3 linked regions of the Caenorhabditis elegans genome follow. The protein of the gene in region 1 interacts with the protein of each later gene in a pairwise test. Each region holds a gene or a part of one and is shown in the gene's direction. Other genes may lie near its edges.

Region 1 (6,674 bases):
TTTTTCTTATGTAGGCCAGGATCAGAGCATCCTTTTTTGCTACATGATATAAAAACCTAAACTTCGGGAACTAATTAATTTTTTTCAGCAAACCTTATCTACAGTTTTCTGGATGCAAGATCTTTATTTTTAAAAGAGCTGCCGAGTTCTAGTATTTCTAGACCACTACGTGTGGCAACATTCTTTCTCTTCCTATTTTTAGCTCTATATACCCCGGTTGACTTGATAGGCGAATTTAATTGAGAATTATAAATTTTCCATTTTCCAAAAAGTAAAATTCCAAATTCAAATGTTCTTTCTCCCACTCCAATATTGTAACATACAATAAAATTTAATCCTATCTCTCTTTCCTCTGTGCTTTCCATAACCTCTCTTCCATTTTGCCCGTTGGTGGCAGGCGATGGGCGGGTTTGACATCGTCCTTTAAGAATAATAAAATGTGTCATTTGGTGCCCTCTTTATCTCTATTTCTCTATTCCTCTCTAACTCTCGTTTACAAAACGCCACCTGCTCTCTCTTTCTCTTCATTTGACCCCTCTACTCCCAACACCCAAACAGACACCATCCTTTGTTCCGTTTTTTTTGGTTTTTTGATGGTGGACAGTGGTGATGGACATTTCGTTTTACTCCATGTTTTATTTTATTCTAATGTGCTATGTGTGCAACCAACATCTGCCTTCCACCGGTATAATGAGATTTTGACTAGGGAAGGGTCAACTCATGGTCACGTTGGCGACTCTTTTGGGACTTTTGAGTGAACATTTCTAAATTGTAGATTTTTCGCTATGGCCAGTTGTCAACCCTAAAAATTGGGATTTTCATGGTTTTTAAGGTACTGTTTTTTTCATGCAATATTTCAAATTCAATTATCTACAAACAAAAATATTTTCTGGAAAATATTCAACTGAAAAGCCAGCTGATATTTTCCAGCATTTTGTCAGTTGATAACTTTTTTCTAGCATCACAAAGTTATGATAATTTAAAGACTCTCCACACTTCCAACAGAGGTAGCAAAGAAACGAAAAGCTCTCGCTCAATAGGGTGCTGAGAAGCTAGACTCTGCACTCTCTTTGCAATTCCAGTTAGGAAATTTATAACTAACTAAAAATTGGCAAAAAATATTTTAATATTCTGAATTTATAACGAACTTTTGGCTTCTGGGGTAGTCACTTTGAAAGCTACATTTTGACGCGCCTTTTTTAAACGCCTTTTCGAAAATTTTATTTCAAAATTCGTTTAGTCTTCAGAATACAATATGATTCTGACATTTTTGGCAGAAAATTACATTTTTCACACTCCGTGGGAGGTCTATAAATTCGTTTTATGTTAATCGTGGCCAGTTAAAATTTTCAGCGCGTGCGCCTTGAAACTTTATTTTTCAAAAAAAAAACTTTTCCCCCCGATTACGCCTTCCCCAATTCTCGCCTATTTTGTTACACAAATTTAATTAAAATTTTTTCTAAAATTTTCATTATTTTCTCTTTCCCTCTCTCTTTTTCTGCAAAACCCACCTAGAAAACAATTTATGTGAAATTAAATTGTTATTTACTGCGCAACCGGAAAAATAAAATAAAATTTAAAAATTTGTAAAATGCGAAATCAGCAATTCAAGTATCTCTCTCCCTCTCTTTCTGGTGTCCTCGTCATCCACTACCAGCCACAAAAATAAAAAAAGAATTTCGCATTTTTTATGTGATTCAGAGAAGTGTCTCCCGTATTCGAGTACTATTTTCGAGTTTTGCAATACATCTTATCAAAAATATATGTTTTGGGGTGAAACGGGAAAATAGAAAGAGAGGGACAAGTGAGAGAGCAGAATTTAATATTTTTGATGACTTTTTCAAACAAATTTTTTTTGTTGAAAACTTTTTCCCTCACTTTTTCACATTTCTTATCATTCTTCTTCGCTTTCTCGAAATTTAATTTCATTTTTTAAACGCATTATCAATATGTTATACTTAATATTTCAGATCAACTCAGATGATGCTCCAACCGCCAACTTTAACGCCGAATGCGAATGGTGAAGAGTTCAGAGGATCCGTCAGTACAGATCGTAGTTCAGCTTCTCCTTCCAACATTGACGTGAGTTTGGATTTTCATCGTTTTGATGTGAAAAAAGAACACTATAAAAAATTACAAGACATATAAAAAAATTTTACTGTATGTCTTTTTTCAAACTTGTTCCCATGTCTTACATATTTAAAAACTATACATTAAGCTTGGAGAGAGGTTCAAAATTTTTGAATGTCTGAAAACCTACATGGGCGACCTCTAAAATTTCTAGACTTTAACAACAAAAAAATTGTGTTCTAAAAAAATTTCGCAGTTTCAAAGATGTAACGCAAATACATATATTACACATTTCTCAATCTTTTCTCTTGTTTTCGCACTCGTTTTGCCCGCCTCCCTCATTCATTTTCACAATTTCTCTCTCGTTTATTTTTTGCCTCAAACATCTCAAGATGATTTTTTATTTATTTCGAAGAAACTCGCAATTTCATTTTTTTCAACATTTTTGCCTCGCTCGTTAAATGTAAGAGAAATAGACATATTTTTCGATATGTATTGAAAAAATTGAGGTGAGAGTGAGAGCGATGAAAATGTGCTAATTCAGAAGGCAAACAACTTTTTTTTTCGATATAAAATTTATGAAACATTTTTTTTCGTTTTCCATATTTAGAAGTGCTTTTGGAAAAGGTTTAGTTTTGCCTTTATGCTCACTTTGAAATAAAATTTGCCGCTGTGGGACTCTGTGGGACTCGGAACCACACATATTTTGTTTTCCCGCTCTTTCTCTCCCTTTTTTCTGTTTAACAAAACCTTTTCAAAATAAAAAAAAGAGCACAATTTTCTTTTGGTTTTTTTTTGCGTTGTCCCCACAAGAATTTTATTATTTTATTATCTACACATTACACGATAGAAAATAAAACGTAGCGAAAATATTATCAGTTATCGGAATCGTTAAAATTATTGAAAAATTATAGATGAAAAAAATTCTTCTTCTTTTTCTTTGATAATGATAGGAATTAACAGAAAATTTCAATTTAATGATGATTGTTAGATGCTCGCGGAGCACACGACAATTCCGTAAAAGTGCGCGAACAAACAAACAGACTGTTTTTTTTGTTGAAAAAGCGAACTTTTCCTCCTCCCCTTCTTTCAATTTGTGCTCTCAAATCATTCATTTTTCCTACAAACATAAAAAACCCAATTTCTTTCGATTTTCCGTATTTTTTATGGCGCTCTTCTAAAACCGCACTATTTCTTTTCCATTTTTTTTCAATCAAATATTTATATATTTTTTTATTTATTTTGAGAAGGAAAACGGACAGGGGGGAAGGCGAGGTGGTGGTTGAGCCAGCAGCCCGCTCCCTCTCCTGTCACAGCAGCACCCAGCCACCACATACATACAACCCTCAATTTGAGTGAATTTGTGACCAATTTTCTAAATTTATTTGGTATTTGTTAGGTTGCTGCACGAATTGCTCGAATATAAATATATCTGATACATGAGTTTTTGCAATTCTTATTGATCAAGCTTAAGCTCTTCTCTAATTCTGAAATATTTGTAGGAGATCATGGAAGACGATGTGAATCAGAAGGACGAGGATGAAGATCTGAACTTAGTGGATCGTGTCAGCAAGCTCGAGACAAATTTTGTATTCATTCAGCATCAGGTGAGTGAAAAACTATTAATAAATTATTTTATTTTCTAAATCGAGAATGAAAGAAGTAGAAAAATATATTTGCACAACAATTTCGACAAGTGCAATGTGTAATGCAACAAGTCATAGGTGTCTAGTATTTATTTTGAAAATTTCCAAAAAAAAACTCGACTAGACACAACAATAGGCTTACCGTCCGTCACACATACTATTTTTTTCGATTTTTCACCCGTGGAATTCATTTTCATTTTCATTCACAAAGTTTACATTTGACCATCTCTCTTTCCCTCTGTCGCCCTGTCTCGGGGCTCACGCATCGTATACATACCGGACAGAGGAAGCAGATTGAAGAAGAAGAAGTGAAGACAGCGATCGTCAAATAGTGTGTTTTGTGGGAGGAAATAGTAGAATGATCCAAAAATAAATTAAATGTCAACATTTATTGACGCGGAAAAATGGAAAAAAAATATAATTTTATCGTGGTGTTATGAAATTTAAAATATACATGGACCCATTGAACTGTATGTTTCCAGCTATCCTCTATCATGAACCATCTTCATGCTCCACAATGCAAGTGTACAACATGCTCCAAAGTCAACCAACCTGGAGCTGAAGAGCAGAAGAATGATACATCAGTGCTCTCGCAGCTATTCCCTAATGCTTCTGATCAGCAACTCAAGACTCTCCTCGATCTCTCGAAAATGAACAAGTTGCCATCACAAGTTGTTCACAAGGATCAACAGAACGGATCATCTTTTCTACCATCAGCAAATAAGACCTCTGAAAATCCAAAACCTATTGAACTGAAGCCTCTGAAGCTTGGACAAGGCTATCAGATGGCGAATGGTGGAGGTGGAGGCAAGATTCATACCGAAAGACTCTCAGAACCAGCGAGAAAGCAGAGCCGGAAAGTTGGATTCCCACCACCAGTTGCTTCATATTATCAGAGAAAGGAGAGCTCGAATCGTAAGTTCACTATACAACCACAGCGCAATCTAGAAACTCTAATTTTCAGCTTTGGTCCCGCCAACTCCATTGTCGTCCATCCCAAATCTGATTACAAATTCCAATGCAGTATCAGCCAACACTTCAACAGCTTCACCAGGACCCTCCTCGGAAGGAAGTGGTGATGATCATCTTGAGGCTCCAAATGAGGTGGCTCACATGCATTCTAGTACCGTACCAGCTACACCAACAACTCCAGGAGCCAACTTGTTCACTCAATGTAAGTAGATCCGCATGTTTTTTCTTAAATTTTTGCCAATTTCAATTATGCTAAAGGGAAGGAAATCTAACTTTAAGTAATTAGAGCAGTACTTGAATTATATTTTTTATCAATGCAAAACAAATTAATTTTTAATTTTTCAGCTATGGTCGATATGCTCAAACTGAATGCACAAAACGCTGCTCACTCGACAGGTTCTCCTGGATTCTTACGTGGACGTGGTCGCGGACGTCCAAAGCTTATCGGAGATGAACTTGATGCTGATCTCGTTGACTACATGGTTTCCCTGAAGAACTCAGATCCACATGGTGGCCACTTCACCGCATCTCAGGCCCTGCATATGGCTCGTCAATACATACTCGAAAGAGCTCCAGGCCTTCTCGAAGAGCATGGAGGTCATGTAAAGCTGAAGCTCACCTGGGCGATGAAGTTGGTGTCGAGAATTGGGGAACGACAGCGGGAAATCGAGCTAGGACTTCCAGCCGGAACACTGTCGAATATGGGACGAAACTTGACAAATATACCGGCTGGTGGCAATTTTATGGCTGATATGATGGCTCAGAACATCTTTTCGCAGCATATGATGATGGTGAATCAACAATTGGAAGGTGGATCTCCACCAGCATCTTCTTCATCAACTGCCACGACATCGACAGCCACGAAGACAGTGAAGCAAGAGTCGAAAAATGGACATCAGAATGAGGAAAATTTAAATGTGAAACAAGAAGGTGAGTTGTCACGGGTTCTAGTCCAACTTCACTTGAACCTTCTCTAAAATTATAATTTTCAGCCTCCACGATGCCCGAAATAATAAATATCAAAGAGCTCAATCTTCCATTCCTCAACAACTTCCTTGCCGAACTAAACGACAACAACTCGGGACTGATTGACGGTGAAATTGGTGCAGCAGGTCCATCCATGGCTGCTCTTTTTGCTCCGAACGCATAATTTTTAAAAACATTTTTTTGTTTTATTTTCTTGTTGTAACATTTTACTACTGAACCTCCATTCATCTCAAAACAGACCACCCGATTTTATGGGTATTTTTCGATATATTCTTATTGTCAATTACTTCTACTTTTTCCCTGTCATCACCTCTTCCTATATGTATCATTTTCTACACATAGGCATCACTTTCAACATGTTTTATACTTGCTTTTTTTTTTGATTTTCCAATTTTCCAATTTTCCGGCATCAACATTCACAAAACAAAATATGTTAACAAAATTCAAATTAACAGTATTCAAATAAATTATACAATCAAATATTTCCTTTTCAAGTATTATTATAGGAACGGATGAGAAGTGCCACGTAGGCAATTATGCGAATTCCGATGAACATTCCAAACAGAATTGAAATATCAAAAATTTTATGCGAAGCCGAGAAATCGATCTGTAATTTTAAACCATAAAAGCTTGAACAATGAAAGTTCCACCTCGTTGTGAAAAACTTCTTTTGAGCATTATTCGATGTTCAGAAAATAAACACCAAAAAGTCTACGATTTAGTTTGGTTAAGTAATCCAACACTGAGAAACAGATTTTTTAAATGTTCCTAAATTAATTTCTAATAATCCAAAACACTAACCGATTCCAAAACTTGATGCCCATTTTTTGGGCAGCTATCCAACGCAAACGCAGTCATTGAACTATTGAAACACTCCGGAATCACTTTGATCGAATCCCATTCATTGATCGCGAGAGCTTCATAACCGTATCTAAAAGATTTGTTATTATATAACACAAATCATCATGTTTACTTGAAATAAGAGAGCGAAGAGAGCCA
Region 2 (5,837 bases), on another chromosome or scaffold:
AAAAATATTGATCACACTCTCCTCGGAGTAGTACACTCTTTCATGATTTTTTGGATTTTCCCCGAATTTCAACGGAAGGACTTTTAGTGGAAAACTGCTTTCTAGTGCTGATTCCTGGAAGGTTTCTATATTTTTTGGAGTTCATTTTTAAAAAAATTCAAAGTGTCTTTCTGATTATGAGGAATAAAAAATGCTCTTGGGTACTGTAATGAACACCAAAAAAATGTTGTCCAGTTTTTCTGGATCTACCTTAAGATTAACAAGAAAAAAATTAACACAGAATCTTTCCTAACTTACGATTTTTAAGAAAAACCCAAAAAATAGTAGGAATTCGGTGAAAAGATGCATTGTAGAACCCTCTCTGAACAATCCTTCTGTCCCGTTTCCGGTTACCTCATATTTTATAGTTTTATCACCGCTTTTCCTTTTTCCTACATTTCCTGAACCTTTTTTTGCTTTTCAGTGCCTCCTGCCACGTCATACATCTGCAATCAGCTGATGTTTTGCAATCAATCGGTGTCGTTTAGTTTTTTTAGTTGAAACTGATAAGAAACCCTATCAGCACATACTCCACTGATTCAATTCAACTGATATGATAATATCACACAGGCTCACTTTCTTTTTCCTCTTCCTCACATTTTCATCAGTAATAATACATTTTTATCACTTTTTTGAGTTTTAATTCGAAAAAAACCGGTGGCACTTTTGAATTTTTGACATTGCCACGTGGCGGCTTTTAGAGAGAACTGTGAGAATACATACTTTCAGTATTTTATTTTTTATAGTATGCACTATCCTGATTTTTCGTGAGTTTTTTTCTGAGAAAAAATTGGCACATGTTTTTGCGTTTCGGAAACTGTCGATAACTTGAATTTTGCATGAAAACCTTGATGGCCGAGATTTTCTCTCTCTCTCTCTCTCTCTCTCTCTCTCTTGGTCATGCAGTAAAACCGTCATGATTATTGTGCGGCCGCGGAAATGAAAGAAAAAACTCGGCCGCCGATTTGCTGCTACACGATCGTGCACGAACATCTTTTGAACTCTGCTTTGGGGTTTTTTCTCTTTCATTTAAAATAATTCCAATTGATATTATATTGATAAAAAAATAAACGCGTATTTAAGCGGAATGGCCTCGCTACGCGCAACCCATTGATTGAAAAAAAAAAACATTAATGAGTAACGCGTGGTGAGACCATTTCGCATAAATACGTGCGCCTTTGAAACCGTAGAAGAAGAAAATAAAGTTCGCTGTATAGCTATAGCGTGTATATAAGTGAATTGCACGGATAGGGCGCGAGAAGGGCGAAGAGAGAGAGAGAGAGAGAGAGAGAGAGAGAGAGAGAGAGAGGCGCCCCCGTCACGCCTCAACCTAGTGAAATGTCTACAGTCGACAACTGGGAACATCCCTACATGTATAGTTAAACTGAATCACAGATGATAAGAGATTGTGGTAACTGATTAAAGATAAAAATTGGGGTAGATAATGATCAGTAAGGAAGACGGCGATAATTGAGATATTCGGTAGGCAAAAGTCAATGTTATAATATTACTTTACTATATAGAGCTTTTAATTTTGAATCAGCCATCTATGAAAATATTCTAGAAACATCTATGTACCTTTAAACTGTTGAAGTGTAAGCACATTTAATACGCAAAAAAATAATTACCGTAGCTCAAATTATGCACTAAGGTAAAAGGCTTCAATCTGACAGTACTTTGGAGATTCTCATAAATAATTAATTTCAAAAACAAAGCAATATTCAGAAGTTTAAAACATTAGATTTTCTCTATTAAAATTTCATATTTTGCTCTTAAAGCACCTGCCAACTCAATGCATCACATTTCACGCGCAATGTTCACTACTCAACTTTTCCTCTCAAATCTCTACTAATCTAATATTCATTCCAACCGGAGATTCAATCTATTTCAGTTGTTCAGTCACTTCATCTGCTCTTCCCAATCTTCCTTTTGTCTTCTTCTTCTTCACCTTATCATCAAAATCTGTGTGACTCGGAGTGCCGGAGCACGCACAACTTGCTCTGCGCCCCGCGTTGTCCCTGAGATCTTATCGCTCACTCGAGCCCATCTTTCTTCGTCGGAAGCCTCTTCTTTCGTTTTCTCATTCGGCCACTTCATTTATATACAATGGATGTAAACCAATCGATTCTGCATAATACAATAGCTAGCGTGAGTTACAGTAGATTTTTTGATTTTTGCTTCAAACCCGGTCTCGACACTACAAATTTTTGTGAAATGCAAAAAGGTGTGCTCTTCTAATAAGTAATGTTATCTTGCACCTTTTTCTGACAACTTGTTGAAATTTGATTTGTTCTTATTTTTATTATCGGTTTTCTTATGAAAGGTGAAATTACAGTACAGTAAACTCAAAAGAATTAAGCGTTGCGAGACCCAAAACGCTACATTTGACAAACAAAAATATTGATTAATGAATAGGGAAATGATGATAAATATAAATTCAAAATTACAAAAATAACGCAAAAAAAATTAGAAAATTAAATTTACACATCGCGTAAAACTTTTTTTGTTGAATATTGAGGACTGAATTATCATCAAAAGTTTGCAGTCAATACGAAAACAAGTTATGACCGCACCAATCGAGTTTAGATGTGGCGATTGTGTTGGACCGTATTCTGTGAGCGGCAATGGACAACTGTTGAGGATTACTGTAAGTTAAAGCATATACTGTAAGTTATAGAAGTTGGCGCAATATCTGTAGATCAAAACTGGATTCTGACTACCGGTGGGTTCTCAAATTTGCGCGTAACTTTTGGCGCATTGAATTCTTCTGATTCGACAGACACAATACACCATATTCCCCGCACAAATGCACCGTAGAACCTCCTTAATTTCCAGCTCTCCAACTTCACCGGTGAATCGATGGGTTTCGAGATGGAATCGAATCCAGTGACGCGGAGAATTCAAGCAGCCCAAGGTCCACTTCTAGCTAATTGTGTCATTATGCAGACAGGTATGCGAGCCACACGACATGGCCTAGAAATTGAAAACTAGGCCACCCAAACGGATATTTTTGCACTCAAAGACAATTCATGTCCTGCCTAGCTTTCACTAATTAGTCCACCAAACGACTTTTTTGAAATTTCAACTTCACCTAGGCCAATGTTTCAGGTCCCGTGTTCACAATTCTTTTCACAAAAAATCTGACGACCGTGGAGCCACTTCGAGCCATTCTTGTCGCTGATATGAACTATCGTCTGGAGCAAGAAAAGTTGGAGAAAAGTGAGCTTTTTTGCTTTTCGAAAAGAACTGCATTTCGAAATTTCAGAACACGAATGTCCACACTGTCACGTGGCAAAATTCAACTCCCTTCACAATTTGAAAGTTCATGAAGATTTGTACTGTAGTAAGAAGAAACTCGGAAATGTAGTTGAAAATGCGGATTCTCGAAAACAACAAAATGTTATTTTGTTGCCAATGGCGTTTCATGACCTCTTTCAGCAGAATCCCTTTCAGGTAACTCAGTTTGAAAGCTAGTTGTTAATTTCAATTGAACTTTTAGGTAGTGGGTCCTGTTACTATTGGACGAAATTCGGCATTAATCAACTCAAATCCTTTGCTCATTCATAACAAGAGAAAATTGGAAATGCCAAACTTTTCAACTTCGAAACTCTCCGTGCAGATTCCTATTATCAATTTGGATGAGAAGTTGGTTTTTTCTTTTGCAACACAGTCTTATTATGCAAGCGCGCTCCACAGATAATTAAAAACGCTCCGCCCCGAAATGTGGGGTCCTGCACGTGGTGTCAAACAGTCTCATTGCACTTTGATCTACAAAAAATGCGGGAATTTTTTTCCGGAAAAAATGTGACGTCAGCATGCTCTTAATCATGCAAAATCAGATGAGATGTCTGCGTCTCTCCTCCCGCCATTTTTTGAAGATCAAAGCGAAATGGGACTTTCTGACTCCATGTGGTCCTGGTAGGAATTGACGGCAAAATCCAAACGTTTTCAACCATTTTTCGACTTTTTTGCTGTTTTTCATGATATGTATTCATGTCAAAATGATGTTTGAAGAATGCATTTTTATATCATCATTTTTGAAATTAAAAATAATTAAAACGACAGGCGACAAAACATAATAATTTAAATTGATAGTTTTGGCGCCGATACCTATCGAGACCCAACGTTTAGGGGCGGACCTTGATTTCAAAAGGAACATTTTTAACCTTTATATAACGGGAATACAAAACTCAGAATGCGACAAATGTGCGACAAATTTGACGCGAAAATATCTCGAAGCGAAAACTACTTTAATTGACTACTGTAGCGCTTGTGCCTATTTATGGGCTTGTTCGCATATATTTTTGAAAAGCGGCAGTGATATTCCATTCGTTTCTAATTTTTAATATTCTATTGATAAATAATTCATTTCGAAAAACGATCCCGTAAATCGACACAAGCGCTACAATAGTCATTTAAAGAACTACTGTAGTTTTGATATTTTGCGCGTCAAATATGTTGCGTAATACGCATTTTCAGAATTTCGTGTTCTCGTAATAAATGAAAATCTTTTTTATTTTATTTTTCTATTCAGGAATGTAAGAACTTCAACTCCTCTGGATTTATCCTCATCACCCCATGCACCAAGTGTTCCATCACTCTCAGCCAGTTGTTCTCCAACTTCAAAAAGCTCGAGCAGTGAGCCAATCTACCCGGAAAGACCATTCTCGTGCACTTGTGGAGTCTCGTTTTCGTCTCAGACCACGTATGACGCGCATAAGCAACTGTACTGTAGCCACACAACTCGTGTATCATCTCCAGGTGGTGGACCACACAGAAATGATTCTTTGAGAAAGGTGAGATACACTTTTATTTCTCAGTTTCTTCATTTCCCAGTTTATCAGTTTTCGTGATCTCTCCGAGCCTCTTTCTGATTGCAATCTTGAATTATGGCGAGCCAGTGAAAGAGAGCTTGTGCACAAGCTTGAGTTGAGAACGAAAAAAGAAAGAAAAAAAAGGAGATTTGTAGGTACCGGAGAAGTGTACAAAATGCGATTTTGTGCCGACATCGTCCTCGCAGCTATCTATGCACATTCGATCATCGCATCAGACAACGAAGACATTCACATGTTTGGTGTGCGGCTACCGAGCATTCAGTATGCGAGGGATTCGTACGCATATGAGGTTTGGGGGAACTTATAAGTAATAATCAAGTAAATCGATGTGTTTCAGATCTCATTCTGACGATGAAGCTTTGAAATTCAAAGCCAATGAGCCCGATGAAACATGAATGGATAAAAATATATTTTAAGAAATTAGACAATTTATTTTCAGCTCAATAAACGGGTTTTAATAATTGTTTTGTTGCCAATTTGAAACATACTTTCAAAGATATTATTGGGCAGCAGAAAATAGCGCGCCTCATAGTCAAGTGAAAAGCTCCGCCCTAAACGACGGGTCTCGTTAGGAATTGGCGGCCGGAAACCAGAAATTCAAATTATTTTCGCTGATTTCGCCGGTTTCAAGAGTTTTTAGACCTTTTTTGTAATTTTTTCTGTTTTTAAAAAATTATTTTTTAATGTCAAAAAGAACATATAAAACCGAATCAAACGAGCGTATTCATTTTTCAATTTCAGATACGTTTTTTTTTATATTTTTATATTTTTATACCACATAAAAATCACGAAAAAGAACAAAACAGTTGAATAATGTTCGAAAACGTTTGAATTTCTGGTTTTGCCGCCAATACCCAATGAGACCCAACGTTTGGGGGCGGATCGTTTTCATTTGGTGTTGAAACGCGTTTGCACCTCGTTTTCGATTTTTTAAAACTCCAATTCTCAGGCAACTCAAATCTA
Region 3 (4,888 bases), on another chromosome or scaffold:
TCGAAATTTTTTTTCTCAAACTTGGAACTTTCATTTTTTATCAGATTTTCTTAAAAATTAGGTCATCTTCTCATTGTAATTTTCTCTACAAAATGAGCTTAACCTTCCAGAGGCTCCGCCCACTTTTCTCCCTCCACACGCCACGCTGTCCTCGTCGTGTCGCCCTCATTTTCTGCCACCACCACCACACAAGTTTGTTACTTTTCTCCGTTTTTTTCTTCTTTTTTTCCCTTCACATTTTTCTCCTTTTTCTCCTTTTCTCCACAAATTCTTTCCACCTTTTTGCCCCCCTTCTCAGCTTCTGGGGGCTCGAGCACTAAAAGGGAGAAGGTTTCGAAATGTAATGCATGTTTCCGTTCTAAACATACACATACATACACACAAACACGCACGAGACGCTAGAAAAAAATGGAGAGAAAAAAATTTCCTCTCCGCTGGCTCTCCGGAGAAAAAGAGAGCTCACCTCCACATTTTTTTGGGGGAGACAGGAAAAGAAAATGCAACATTTTATGGATCCCTGAGCATGATTTTAGTATGGAATTTGGAAAATTTGGAAAATTTTGATTTTGGGGAAGTTTTGGAATTGTTCGATTTTTTGAAAAAAAATTGCCAAAAATTGTTTTTTTTTCAAAAACTTTCCTAATTTTTGGGAGGTTTTTTTTGATTTCTCTTTAAACTTTATATGTTTCTAAAATATCTATAATTTTCAAAAAAAACCATACATTTCCTGTAAAAATCTATTTAAAAAATTATTTTTTAATTTTTCCCGATTTTTTTTTCAAATTTTTGAGATTAAAAATTACCAATTTTCTAATTTTTTTCAAAACAGAACAAAGTTGTTTCTAGTTTGAGAATTCATGACGAGAAAAAAAGAAAAAAAACGTTGGTAATTTGAGATCGACGGAAAATCTAGAACTTTTTGTTTGTTCAGATAGTTGTTTTTTTTCGAAAAAAAACTTTTTTTTCCGCAATTTTAAAAGTGATAGTTTATGTACCTTTAAAAATTAGGATATCTAAGTGTCTTTAGCCGAAGAGCAATTTTTGGTGTCAATTTCCATTTAAAAAATTTCAAAAAAAAGTCTGAAAATTTTTTTGGAAAAAGCTCTAAAAATTCGGAAAAATTCCTACAGTCCGACAATTTTCAAAATTACTCTAAAATATCTGAAAATTTTCAATTTCCCCCGAAAAATTCCCACAAAATTCCCCCATCCAACTTCTACCAGAAAATTCAGAAAACCGGTCGAACGAAATTTCCCCAATTTTCTTTTCCAATCTTTCTCCCTTTCTGCCCCCTAAAACTTTCCCCGGTTACTCTCTCTCAAAAAAAAAAACGAAAAGAAACAGAAAACATCATCTTAAAAGAGAAAACTGGTTCCTAAAAATTGATTTGGCGGGAAATTTTGTTGAGAAATTGGGGGTCAGGCCAAAATTGGACACTTACTTTTCAGTTTTGTCCGGTTGGTTTTCTTTGCGTGGTTGTCTTAGGCCTAGGCCTAGTTTCAGGCTTAGGGTTAGGCTTAGGCTTAGGCTTAGGCTTAGGTTTATATTTAGCCTTAGGCTTAGGTTTAGGCTTAGGCATAGACCAAAGTTTAGTAATCGGCTTTGGCTGAGGCTTAGGCTTAGGGTTAAGCTCAGGCTTAGGCTTATTCTTGAGCTTAGACTTAGACTTAGGCTTAGGCTTAGGCTTTAGAGCTGTTTTCCCTCTTTTTTTCTCAAGTTTTACTCAAAAATATTCTGCTCATTTTGCTCTTTTTTCTATCCCCTCCCCCTCATATCCGTCACGCTTCTCCCTTCCTTTCAAAGCATCAAAGATTTTTATTTTCTCATTTTTTACTTATTGCTCCGACTAAAAATATAATATAAAATCTCATCTTCTTTTTTTTGCAGCATCTCTATATGTTTGCTCCTTCGACGGTTTATACCTATGGACATCATGGTTCTGGAACAGACGAGGATGATGGGTGAGTGTACAGTACCCTACGGTATTCATAGTCTATCACCTACAGTACCCCTGAATCAACTACAGTGCCCATATGGTACCTAACTACAGTACCTATAGTCTAGTTTTGGTACCCCTATGGGGTCTAGCTACAGTACCCAAATAGATCATAGCTACAATACACATGTTGTACATAGCAACAGTAGTTACAGTAACCATATGGGCTGATGTACAGCACCCATATAGTTCATAGCTACAGTACACAAATGGTTCCTAGCTACAGTAATCATAAAGGAACTAAGTAGAGTTACAGTATCCATATGGTGTCAAGTTACAGTACCCCTAATCCAACTACAGTACCCGTATGGTACCTAGCTACAGTACTCACAGATTACAATTGAGATACAAAACCCCCAAAAACTTTAAAAAAATTTCAGTCAACAGGTCATGCCAGGAATGGATAATGGTGATGGGCAGTGTATGGTGTGTGGAGACAGGTCGGCTGGAAAACACTATGGAGTAATGGCTTGTTATGGTGAGTTTTTCTTTTTTTCCAATTTAGGCCTAAGCCTAAGCCTAAGGTGCTAAGCCAAAGCCCAAGCCCAAGCCTAATCCTAAGCCTAAGCCTAACCCTATGGTCTGAAGTTTATGGCCCTAAGCCTAAACCTAAGCATAAGCCTAAGCTTAATCCTAGGCCTGAGCCTAAGCCTAAGCCTAAGCCTAAGCATAAGACTAAGCCTAAGCCTAAGCTTGATCCTAGCTTTGAGCCTAAGCCTAAGCCTAAGGTCTTGAGTTTATGACCCTAGGCCTAATCCTAAGCCGAAGCCTAAGCTTAAACCTAGGCCTGAGCCTAAGCCTAAGCCTAAGCCTAAGCATAAGACTAAGCCTAAGCCTAAGCCTAATCCTAGCTTTGAGCCAAATCCTAAGCCTACGCCTGAGCCTAAGCTTAGGCTTAAGCCTAAGCCTAAGCCTGAGCTTAAACTTTGAGCTATCAAAAATCATGCAATTTATGACTTATTCATGTTTTCGACTGGAATATTTCAATAGTTTACACAACTTTTTCAAGATTCAATTTTTGAGATATCGCTCAAATTTCTAAAATTTCAGGTTGTAAGGGCTTCTTCCGCCGAACAATCCGATCCCAACAGACCTACACCTGCCGATTCACCCAAAAATGCGCCATCGACAAGGATCAACGCAACGCATGCCGTTACTGCCGGTTCCAGCGTTGCCTGACAGTTGGCATGGAGCCAGAAGCCATTCGACCGGATCGTGACGTCATCGGCAAGCAGAAGAATCCACGGAAGAAGAAGATGAAGTCCGACACGAATAGTGGAAGCATCGATGCATCCCTACCCTCACCGAATGGCTGCGATTCTCCAGTTTCCAATAATGAAGATGTTATTTTGTCATTTTTATTGGATGTTGAAGATCAGGCGACTTGCGGGAATAATCATATCACAATGCCTATTGGAATATCAATGATGATGAAGAATGACCCGGATTTCGATGTGTCCACTTTGTTCCATAGTCAATATGTCAGAAATCAGGAGAGCTTTCCGGTGAGTTGTCGGCTGCTCCTAGGTAAACTTGAAGGGAGCTTCCAGTAACCCGTGATGTGTCGGCCGTTTCTAGAAACAAGGGAAATGTCGGCTGCTTCTAGAAGCCCGGCAAATGTCGGCTGCTTCTAGAAACTAAGCAAATGTCGGCTGCTTCTAGAAACTAAGCAAATGTCGGCTGCTTCTAGAAGCCCGGCGAATGTCGGCTGTTTCTAGAAACCAGGCAAATGTCGGCTGCTTCTAGAAATTTGAAATACAGTGTGGGAAAGTTCTATAGGACCCCCCCCTAATTTGAAGGTTTGAGGAACTTCCGAAAATTTTTTTGAAAAACTGCTAATGCCATTCGTTTTTAAATTGAAAAAAACCTATATACATTTTTTTCCAGAAGTTTATCTCAAAAACTGAGGTCGCGCTGGAAAAAACGTCAAAATCCAGTGTGAAACTTCTATAGGACCCCCCGTTTTTTTTCACGATTTTTACTAAAATCAACAGATTTTGGAATTTTTGACAAAGCTCAAATCAAGTTTGAGTTAGAAATGAGTTCAGATAAGCAGTTTTGACTTTAAAAAATTAATACGAAATGTTCTCGTGGGATCTCCAGACTGGTTCTGATTCTTCCGATCTTTGATGTTCAAGTCTGTTTCAAGCTTCCTGGTGCTCTCGGTAATGCCAAAACTTGATAAACTCTCTTTAACAAGTTCCTACTAAAATTCCTAGCACGCACTTTAGATGTTTCGACTGTGTAGTCAAGCTGATTTGGCAAAATATGCAGCAGGAAACAATGGAAGGCTTATCAGGAATCAAATCGTTTTTCTTTGATTACAAGGTTCCATGGGACCAATATTTCAAGTTAAATTGTCCCTCACAGATGTTATTTACTATTTTTTGCGTGAATTATTAAATGTGGAATTGTGGCATGTGTTGTGGCACACATATAGAGGCTGGAAAGCTTACTTCGAAAGCAGTCTAACTTGCAATGCCTCGAGGATCTGCCCTTTCGGACACTGAACGCGCTCAGCTGGATGTTATGAAATTGCTCAATGTGTCCCTGCATGAAATGAGTAGGAAAATTTCCCGTTCTCGACACTGTATTCGCGTGTATCTGAAGGATCCGGTGAGCTACGGTACATCTAAAAGAGCTCCTCGTCGCAAAGCTCTCTCCGTGCGTGACGAACGAAATGTGATTCGTGCTGCCTCCAACTCCTGTAAGACGGCAAGAGATATTCGCAATGAGCTTCAATTGTCTGCTTCAAAAAGGACCATCCTCAATGTCATCAAACGATCTGGTGTAATCGTTCGTCAGAAACTTCGCCCTGCTCCGTTACTCTCTGCAGACCATAAACTCAAGCGATTGGAATTTGCTAAGAACAATATGGGAACGAATTGGAGT

Evidence for each region. Proteins that work in one complex are often made in the same cells at the same time.
Region 2: the proteins of attf-4 (region 1) and F21A9.2 interact in a two-hybrid assay, tested with the Caenorhabditis elegans proteins (one large-scale study listed by BioGRID).
Region 3: the proteins of attf-4 (region 1) and nhr-88 interact in a two-hybrid assay, tested with the Caenorhabditis elegans proteins (one large-scale study listed by BioGRID).

The regions. Positions count from the first base shown.
Region 1 is NC_003281.10:6,078,593-6,085,266, forward strand, and holds attf-4 (AT hook-containing protein attf-4), read left to right. Parts: upstream 1-1,970; 5' UTR 1,971-1,983; coding exon 1,984-2,082; intron 2,083-3,572; coding exon 3,573-3,677; intron 3,678-4,198; coding exon 4,199-4,631; intron 4,632-4,680; coding exon 4,681-4,890; intron 4,891-5,033; coding exon 5,034-5,618; intron 5,619-5,680; coding exon 5,681-5,838; 3' UTR 5,839-6,156; downstream 6,157-6,674. Other genes in the region: ABC transporter ATP-binding protein/permease wht-1, read right to left, coding at 6,166-6,282, 6,477-6,606, 6,649-6,674.
Region 2 is NC_003279.8:3,705,529-3,711,365, reverse strand, and holds F21A9.2 (C2H2-type domain-containing protein), read left to right. Parts: upstream 1-1,930; 5' UTR 1,931-2,145; coding exon 2,146-2,187; intron 2,188-2,584; coding exon 2,585-2,686; intron 2,687-2,874; coding exon 2,875-2,989; intron 2,990-3,147; coding exon 3,148-3,258; intron 3,259-3,304; coding exon 3,305-3,492; intron 3,493-3,538; coding exon 3,539-3,684; intron 3,685-4,573; coding exon 4,574-4,835; intron 4,836-5,008; coding exon 5,009-5,163; intron 5,164-5,211; coding exon 5,212-5,269; 3' UTR 5,270-5,336; downstream 5,337-5,837. Other genes in the region: F21A9.1 (PRELI/MSF1 domain-containing protein), read right to left, coding at 1-114, 298-348.
Region 3 is NC_003280.10:2,976,529-2,981,416, forward strand, and holds the start of nhr-88 (Nuclear hormone receptor E75), read left to right. Parts: upstream 1-1,887; 5' UTR 1,888-1,896; coding exon 1,897-1,961; intron 1,962-2,376; coding exon 2,377-2,474; intron 2,475-2,740; exon of another isoform or gene 2,741-2,815; intron 2,816-2,860; exon of another isoform or gene 2,861-2,914; intron 2,915-3,046; coding exon 3,047-3,501; intron 3,502-4,227; coding exon of another isoform or gene 4,228-4,317; exon of another isoform or gene 4,318-4,402; intron 4,403-4,888.